Oryzias latipes: one gene and its partner. The protein of the gene in region 2 binds, or shares a complex with, the protein of the main gene of each other region. Links are inferred from orthologs where the notes say so. Each region holds a gene or a part of one and is shown on either strand. Other genes may lie near its edges.

Region 1 (3,866 bases), on a different chromosome or scaffold from region 2:
AAGGGATTTGATACTTTGGCCATTTCAGTTTGTGTTTTCCAGAACCAAATGCAGGGCCTGATTCTGTTTATCACAACTGCAATGGTTTGTCCGCAGCTGCATGCAGAAAAGCAGAAGGGAGGGATCATTACGTCAAAAAACCTTTCTTTTTTAGCCTATATTACAAAATTGACAAAGTCTTTTGGATAAGAGGTGAAACGTTTTCTAACTTTAAAAACTAAGAGGACAGCCCCTAAACTTACTACTATGATGGAATCAACCTGGATGAAAGAGAGTCTTCATAGACATAATTCTTCTATATTACAACATGTCTCACTACATTAATAATTTAGGAAAGGATTTTTCCTCCCTAAATCAATTTTAAATACTGTTTCTTTTTTTTGATAGCTGCACAAAAATGAAGTTACTGTTTCATGTTTTGTAACCTTGCGGTTCTGGATACTCTTGTCGCCCGACTTTAATTTATCTTCTGGCTCAGTTTGGTTAATATTTCTCTGACAATTAAGTCACCAAATGAGGATAAAGATAGATACAATGAGAGAAATAAGACTTATTTAAAAAAGTATAAATGTATTTTGGATTTAGCGTTGAAAAGCTTTACATGAGAAACAAATACACTACTGACAACAAAAAACTTGGTTTACATTTTAAACTTTTGCTAACTCTCCAACTTATTCAAAACAAACAACATAGTATAATTATTTTTTGTAATTACATAGTTCAAAATATATTTACAAAGATTGAAAAAAAAAACATTCTTTCTGGATCTATTGATGCCTGCTGAAGAAATTCTAACAATGTTGGCCCCTTTTTAAGGTGATCTAATAACTGAATTTCTGCAGCTACTGTCTTGTAGCAACAAATGGAAGCGTTCATCCATTCAATCTGAATCAACTCCTCTTCATAACGGCTTCTTCTTCAGTCCAAAAACCGCAATAAACAGAAGAATCTCCACAAAAGCTGGCAAGACACTGAAAGATGAGAAATAGAAAAAGAAATTAATAGAAATCCAGAAAGATAAAAGAACAATCCTTAAATGCATTCAAATTCCTTCAAAATAAGAGTGACTGTTACAGTATGCTGTCTTTCTAAAAGCCAACTATTCATTGAAAACAAGCATGCAGGCGAACCAACCTGCAGGTGGCAAAAATCACCCAGTAAGTCCAGCATTCCCATTGTTCAAACACAAAGAAAGACAAAGATACGGATGCGGAGCAGTGGACAGCTAATGCTGAAAGGAGCAGCTGTCAGGGAAAACTTTGGGGAAAAAAGGATAAAACGGATTTGCTAGGCGTCAAAAGACTAACCTGCAAATAGCAAAGATCCACCAGTAGATGTCACACTCCCACTGCTCAAACAGAAAAAAGAGCAAAGCCACAGAGGCACTGGCATGGACTCCTGTTGCTATAGCAGACAAGTTCTTAGTTACGGAATTGTAACTAATGACTAATAAGCATTGTTTAATCCATTCATTTATTCTTGTAAATCATGTTTTCTGCTATAAACCAGATGCTCATTTAGAAGCTAGAGCTGCTGGAGAAAAGACAATATCTGAAAATCTTTATTTTCCTCACAATTGTGAATCAATAGTTCAGTATCAATGACCATGACAAATATGAATCATCACTGTCAGTATAAAGGATACACAGAAGACCCTGGCTGGAACTGAACATGGAGACTCCTGAAAAGAAGCCTGCTAGCTCGATAGCAAACAGACCAAGAGTGGCTGACAAGGCTACAACCAACCTGAACAATAACCAAAGGGATGCGGGTTAGAATGTGAGCATTCAAGATTTTTTCATATATTTTCAATCATTTGTTACTTACTTTCTGTCTTCTGTGTCATACTGCTCCTGAGTAAACTCCAAAGGCAAACATGCCTTCACATTATTCTCCTAGAAAACAGAAACAAATACATAAAATAGCCGATTATGGTAACATTTCTAGATAAAAAATTGTTTATAAAAAAAAGGAGAAATAAACTTTTTGCAGCAAACAAAAATCTATATTTCTGCAGTTTAGGAAAAATATTTTGTGGAGTAGAATTTATTTCTATTTCACGATTTTTTTAAAAACTTTTGTTCTTTATTTTAAAATCACAAACTACACGTTATTGATATTTACAAAAAACAATAATAATATTAATAATAATAATAAAAAATATTTCTATGGCAGCTTGAGTCGTCCTTCAAGCTTTAACAACAACACGGACTGTCCTTACTTACCCTGGACCAAAAGATTGTGATGACGATGACAAGGTGAGCTATGATGGTGAGAAACCGCGCAGGAATTAGACTGCTAATAGAAGACATGTTGTTTCTGGTTCACAGAAGTGTCAGAAATGCTAGAAAATTCTAAATTTTAAAGCCAAACGGTCACGTTGGAGTTCACAGATCTCACACAACAGTCGTCGCTCCTGGTTCGCGGTATATCAACGCAACCGCGGTTCAATAAATAATCCAAAAATGATAATCAAGCATTTTTAAAGCCAATGAACTTATAAAATTAAAATTTTACTCTTTAATAGTCTTTTTTCTAAACAAAATTATACATAGAAATTTAACACACCCCGGTGTCGCATTGGGTTGCTACAACAGCCAGTGGCTGGGTGCATCCAATATTGCGACCCGTAAAAACATCCACCTTCCAAACGTTCCGGACACAAAAGGGAAGTGGATGCGACCCATCGCCTTTGTTGTTAAGCAGCACACAACACTAGCATCTAACGACAACACACACACAAAAATAAAACATGACAAAGTTAACGTGTGATTGTAGGATGAACATAGCCTCGCGTATCTAAAGAACGTAGAAAAGCCGATTTTTTTTTGTTTTTATTTTCTAAAAGAATGTTTTTTAAACGCTCCCCGATAAAGCTAACATTTTGGGGCAAAACGCCCCCACCCCCCTCCACCAGTTTCAGCAACCATTCCATTCGCATTTGGATAGACGACAGAGATTGAGCAGCACACCTCAAGCACAGCTATCTGTGCACGTCAGGGCCTAGTGTTTGCTACAAAACAGCCGGGGATTATTTTTCACACCCACTTAATAATCGTTTTAAACGAAACATTTTTTCTTTGGAAGCGTGCACATCAGAACAACAGAGCATGGCAGAAGAGGACTTCCAAACCTTTACCTCTGTCATGGACGCGCTGGTTCGTATCAGTGTAAGTGTGCGACGCCGGTTTATTCTAATATAGCCATTTCAAACGTGCTACATCTAAGAGAGGAAAAACAATAATGTAGTCTTACATATAACTTGCTTTATTGATAGTATGTTGATCTGGACAATCATGGCTATGAAATAAGAATGCGGAGCATTTTTCTACCGTTTACAAACATGTTTTGTCATCGCTTTAATAACCCGGAATAGGCTGAAAGCCACAGTCAGGTGGTGAATGGCAATAGAAAATATACAGTCGCAACGACCACATAATTCATTTTTAATAGATATAAGAACCTAAGAATGTTGCCAAATAGCATAAAATCAGGGCCAGAGGAAGATGTGCGTTGTCATAGAAACCGGATGCCGCGCCTTGTGGCTGCAGTAATGGAAAGGGGCCACCACAACCTAAAAAAAAAAGAAGCAACAATCAATGGCAAACAGAATGTTTCTGCATTGTTTGAATTGTTTTTTTTTATTAAAAATAATGTCTCAGCCAATTTACTCTTAGAAATAGGAAGCAGTGAAGCAATCACAGGAGGACTGCTAAGCATCATGGAGGTTACGTTCTTCTTTCCTTCTTGTCCTGTGCAATAAACGGCACACAACCAGAGTTCATCTAGATATTTCCTTCATCACTGCCATCATTTCCTTTCTTTAAATCAAGTCGCAGCTCTGTTGTCTTCTTGAACTTTCCTCT
Region 2 (4,183 bases):
AGTCAGAGATTAAAGGGATCAGTGCGTCCTCTGGGGATTTCCTGTCTTCAGCCTTGAACAAGCACAACACAAGATGGGGGAAGTGTATGTTTCCCACTCATGATCCTCTGTTTCAGAGGAATAGTACAACATCTTCATGCAAATTCATTTCAGACACATGGATGTGCAGGGAGGATGGGAGGAGTGAGTGAGTGAGGGGAGGACTCCATCTAGGTTCATTAGCCCAGATAAAAGTTCTATCTTCAGAGGTGCTTCTTTAAAAAAAAAAGAGTCCTCAAGGTTATCCAATTACCATGAGAATGACAAGACAAAACTTCACAGAAGGATCTTATATAACACAAACTAGGCCTAATAGAAAAAAACAGTAAAAATAGATTAAAAAAAAGGTTGTTTTTTTTTAATCCACCATACTTTTTTAAGTAATGCATGCAAAATATTGAAATTAAAGCAATACTAGATGATGATGCAATGCTTTAAATGGCGTTTCTCTTGAGGTGATCCTAAACAACCTGCAGCAAATGCGTGTTAGCATGATCATGCCAAGCTAAGCAGGATCGATTTCCGGCAGGCTCCTGCGAAAACCCCGCGTTAGTGTGTCTGTGATGGGTGGTGGAGCCACATCGAAGGACACACAGTCCGCGGAGCAAAAAGGAAAAACACGCGACATGAAAAGAGGACATCTCTCTCTGGTTTCATAACAACAACCCAAACCCTTTTTACCGAGGGAATGGTCCTCTTTAAACATCCATTTCATCTTTGCTGGATTCCCGCACTGATGCGTGACGGCAGGGGCGAAAGGCGGGCTTCACGATCAGCTAACCCTGTTGGGGGTTCAAACTTGCAGAAATCCTGCCCAAAGCGACCAAAACAAAACGTCAACAAAGAGCTTCTGTTGCTCAGCTGTCCGTCTCGCGGAGAGGTGACGTCACCGTCTGGCTGTTGGTGCTCCTGGTGCGTTCAAGTGCGCCCAGCAGTGCTCGGTCCAAAAAAATCCTTGTAGTTGGGGCTGTTGACAGACACGCATTAATATCTAGTTTCTACATTAATATCCTTCTAGTTTAATGAAAACAACACCAAAGAAATACAAAATTAATACAGTCAGACTGAATAAACAATGAAACAAAAATGATACATTGAAATGCCTTAGAACGGTCATGGGCATTTATTATTAGAAACACAATTGTATAAAAAATTTTAATGCTTTTATTTGAGCTTTTATTTAAAATTAATAGTTCCCATAACAACGTAAAAAGATAATAATATATGGGAATTTTCCAGGCATGAAATGAAATAACTACTTTTGTGCTTTTACTTAATTTCAGGACCACAGAAGAGTTTCAGCATTCCCCACAGTTCATGAATGCATCCTGAACCATGGTAGCCATGGAAACCGAGGGACGCTGCAGAAATATGGCGGGGGGCTCGTTTCCTTACATGTTGCAGGGGCTAGCAAAATAGCATTTCAACGCGAAAAGTTATCAGAAAAATATGAATTTACTGGCGTTTAGAATCCAGAGGAAGATTTTTTGGAGTTTCTTAACGACCAGTTTAGGTAGTATCGACATTTTTACGCCGGTAATCATTTAGTCCGCTACTAGGTTAGCATCTCCAGCTGTAGCCTTACAGCTAGCTGTCTTTACACCGAACGTATGGCTTTCTACGAAGTGTACTCTCATCCGGCTGTAATTCGGTACAAAACCAGTGTTTGCACAAAGGCTACGCTGTTCCTGGTTGTTGTTTTGTGCCTAACCTACATCCCACCTCTGCTTGTTGCTTATAGGAGTCAAGGTACAGTATATATATCGAGGCTTTAAAGTGTCCATTTATTTCATTTTGAACAAAAGAATATATTATGTTTTTGTTAAAGTCTTTGTTTATGCTAGAATATAAAAAAAGGATTTTTATTATCTATATTACTTTACACGTTACAAAGCCTATGAGTAAAGCCAGGGCCTTTTAAATAAAGTTTTATTAGTCCAGTAAAAATAACAAATTAATAACATTTCAGCAATATTTCATTCCATTTTTACTCAGATTTATTTGATTTAGACAACAACTATTCTCTTTGAATGCATATGAATAAGCTTTTATATTAAATAACCCAAGTTTTTACAACTTTTGCTTTAAGTCTAGATATGAGTTGTTTTCAAAATGACTAAATCCATTTGTGTCTGTTGAAAGATTAGCCTTAAATCTGTTGGATGTGTTTTGATTTGATTGATGGATTTCATGCAGCTTTCAGCTCTAAAATAAAACAAAATATATACATATATATATGTGTGTATGTATATATAGTATCATTTTAAAATATTAGTTCCTAAACTGGTTTGAGAAAAATAAAATGACAGAAAATGTTTTTATACACTTGACATTACAATGTATCATAAATAGGTATATCTACACCTATTCATACAGTACACACGTGTGCAATACATTGAATCCATAAAATATTATGTTTTTTAAATAGAGTTTGATTAATTGGGTGGGAAAGAAGTGAATTTATAATCCCACACCTATTAAATTTTACCAAACTTTTTTTTTTTTGACATGTTTACAATTTTCTTCCAAATAGGTGGCCGAGCCTTTTCAGTGAATGGGGATCGCTGCAGTGGGATCTTCTGGGTCTGGTTCTTGCATCTGGGGAGTCCTGTAGTGTATTCTGTGAACTTGGGTGGGGCTCACTTGTGAGGACGGTTTATAATTTCCCCACAAAGCCGGATTTCTACTTTCTACTTTGCATCATTTTAGTGAATCATTTGATGCACTACTATAGTGTGCGTGCATGTGTGCGTGCATGTGTGTGTGCGGCGGGGGGCATTTTATGCATTGTATACATATTTTTTGTCTTGCTTTTGGTTTTTTAAAATTGGATTATGTTTTTATGTAAAACACTTTAAGTAACTCAAGTTGGAAAAACTGCTCTATAAATAAAGTTTTATTTGATTTGAATGTTTCAAATCCATTACAGGAACAGAATTTACGTTGTGTTATTTTCATGCTGGCTTTCATTGCACATTAGTGCCTTTGCTTGTAATACAACAGTAACCCATATTACCATTCAAAAATGCCCTTATTAATGCTGTGGAACAAATGTGACAAAAATGCTGCTATTTTGAACTGAATTATTCGAACATATTTGGTAAATGATGAATTATGCTTTTAAAACGTCTTCTGTAATTTTTAAAAATGGGTTCAAATGTAAAAAATGCCATGGAAAAGTCAGAAAAGTTGTTGAATTCTGGGTACATCAGATGGACATGTTTTCTGCATGACAAACCTTGTCAAGAAGCAAATTCCATTCCAAAAAAAAAAAATGAAGCAAATTCTATAGGAGATTGTGGGAAGTTTGGCTGAAGGATTCTAATAGAAATCTTATGCTATTTTATGTTTGGTTTTTGGTTTGATGGTAACATAGAATTAGAAGAAATCTCAACGTCAAAAAGTTCCTAAAACCTTATAGTTTTGTTTTTTCAATTTCAGGTTTCTGGTTAAAGCGAAGCACGTATGAAGAACAGCCGGTTGTGAGGTTTCAGTACCAGACTCTGATGGTTGCAGCCACCGGCACTCAAGGGGACTATGTGGCCTGGAGTACCTTCCCACACCTCAACAACATGCTGGGGCCCAACCTGCGGATCCCTGCCGTCTCTGTGAGAACACATTTGTGTATCACTGATATGTGTGACACTTTTTCAAGTCTTAAGAACCACATTCCTATGTCATTGTGTAAGCTGCATTTCAAAGCATTGCTCCTGTTGCCATGGCAATCTTTCATTGATTAGCCCTGATGAAAAGCTGGTCCATGCTTTTTGTTTCTATACTTTAAACCAAAACCTTAATGTGTCTAAAATATTTCTTTAAGACAAATATCTATTACCAGAAAAGTATGTTGCTGTGCGTTTACACACAAACCCATTTACCTAAAAATGATCAGAGTACAGACAAAGAGAAAGTACTTCTGTAGATCCACACACAGTTTTTGAAGAAAATATGACCAATAAGGTGTTAACACTGTGAGAAACGAGTTTTTTTTTTAAACTCAAGTCCACTTAGAATACTTACTGGCCCGCTGGGATCTTTGGCCCTTTTGAAATATAAGGTTTGTTCTTAAATCACATCACATTTTTGCTATACAGGCAAGCGTTTCAACCAAATGAACCCAGAAAGTTGTTGCTGCTTCACAGAT

What was found. Proteins that work in one complex are often made in the same cells at the same time.
Region 1: tmem231 (region 2) and tmem107 share a complex: the UniProt entries of both Homo sapiens proteins name them as parts of the tectonic-like complex. The link is inferred for Oryzias latipes from reciprocal best matches to the Homo sapiens genes TMEM231 and TMEM107.

What each region holds. Positions count from the first base shown.
Region 1 is NC_019874.2:18,549,859-18,553,724, reverse strand, and holds tmem107 (transmembrane protein 107), read right to left. Parts: upstream 2,620-3,866; 5' UTR 2,313-2,619; coding exon 2,226-2,312; intron 1,896-2,225; coding exon 1,828-1,895; intron 1,747-1,827; coding exon 1,646-1,746; intron 1,405-1,645; coding exon of another isoform or gene 1,308-1,404; intron 1,232-1,307; coding exon 1,135-1,231; intron 972-1,134; coding exon 902-971; 3' UTR 550-901; downstream 1-549. Other genes in the region: tripartite motif-containing protein 46, read left to right, coding at 3,111-3,170. UniProt on the Homo sapiens protein: Plays a role in cilia formation and embryonic patterning. Requires for normal Sonic hedgehog (Shh) signaling in the neural tube and acts in combination with GLI2 and GLI3 to pattern ventral and intermediate neuronal cell types.
Region 2 is NC_019864.2:27,557,110-27,561,292, forward strand, and holds the start of tmem231 (transmembrane protein 231), read left to right. Parts: upstream 1-1,370; 5' UTR 1,371-1,649; coding exon 1,650-1,788; intron 1,789-3,480; coding exon 3,481-3,647; intron 3,648-4,183. Other genes in the region: gamma-aminobutyric acid receptor-associated protein-like 2, read right to left, coding at 721-754. UniProt on the Homo sapiens protein: Transmembrane component of the tectonic-like complex, a complex localized at the transition zone of primary cilia and acting as a barrier that prevents diffusion of transmembrane proteins between the cilia and plasma membranes.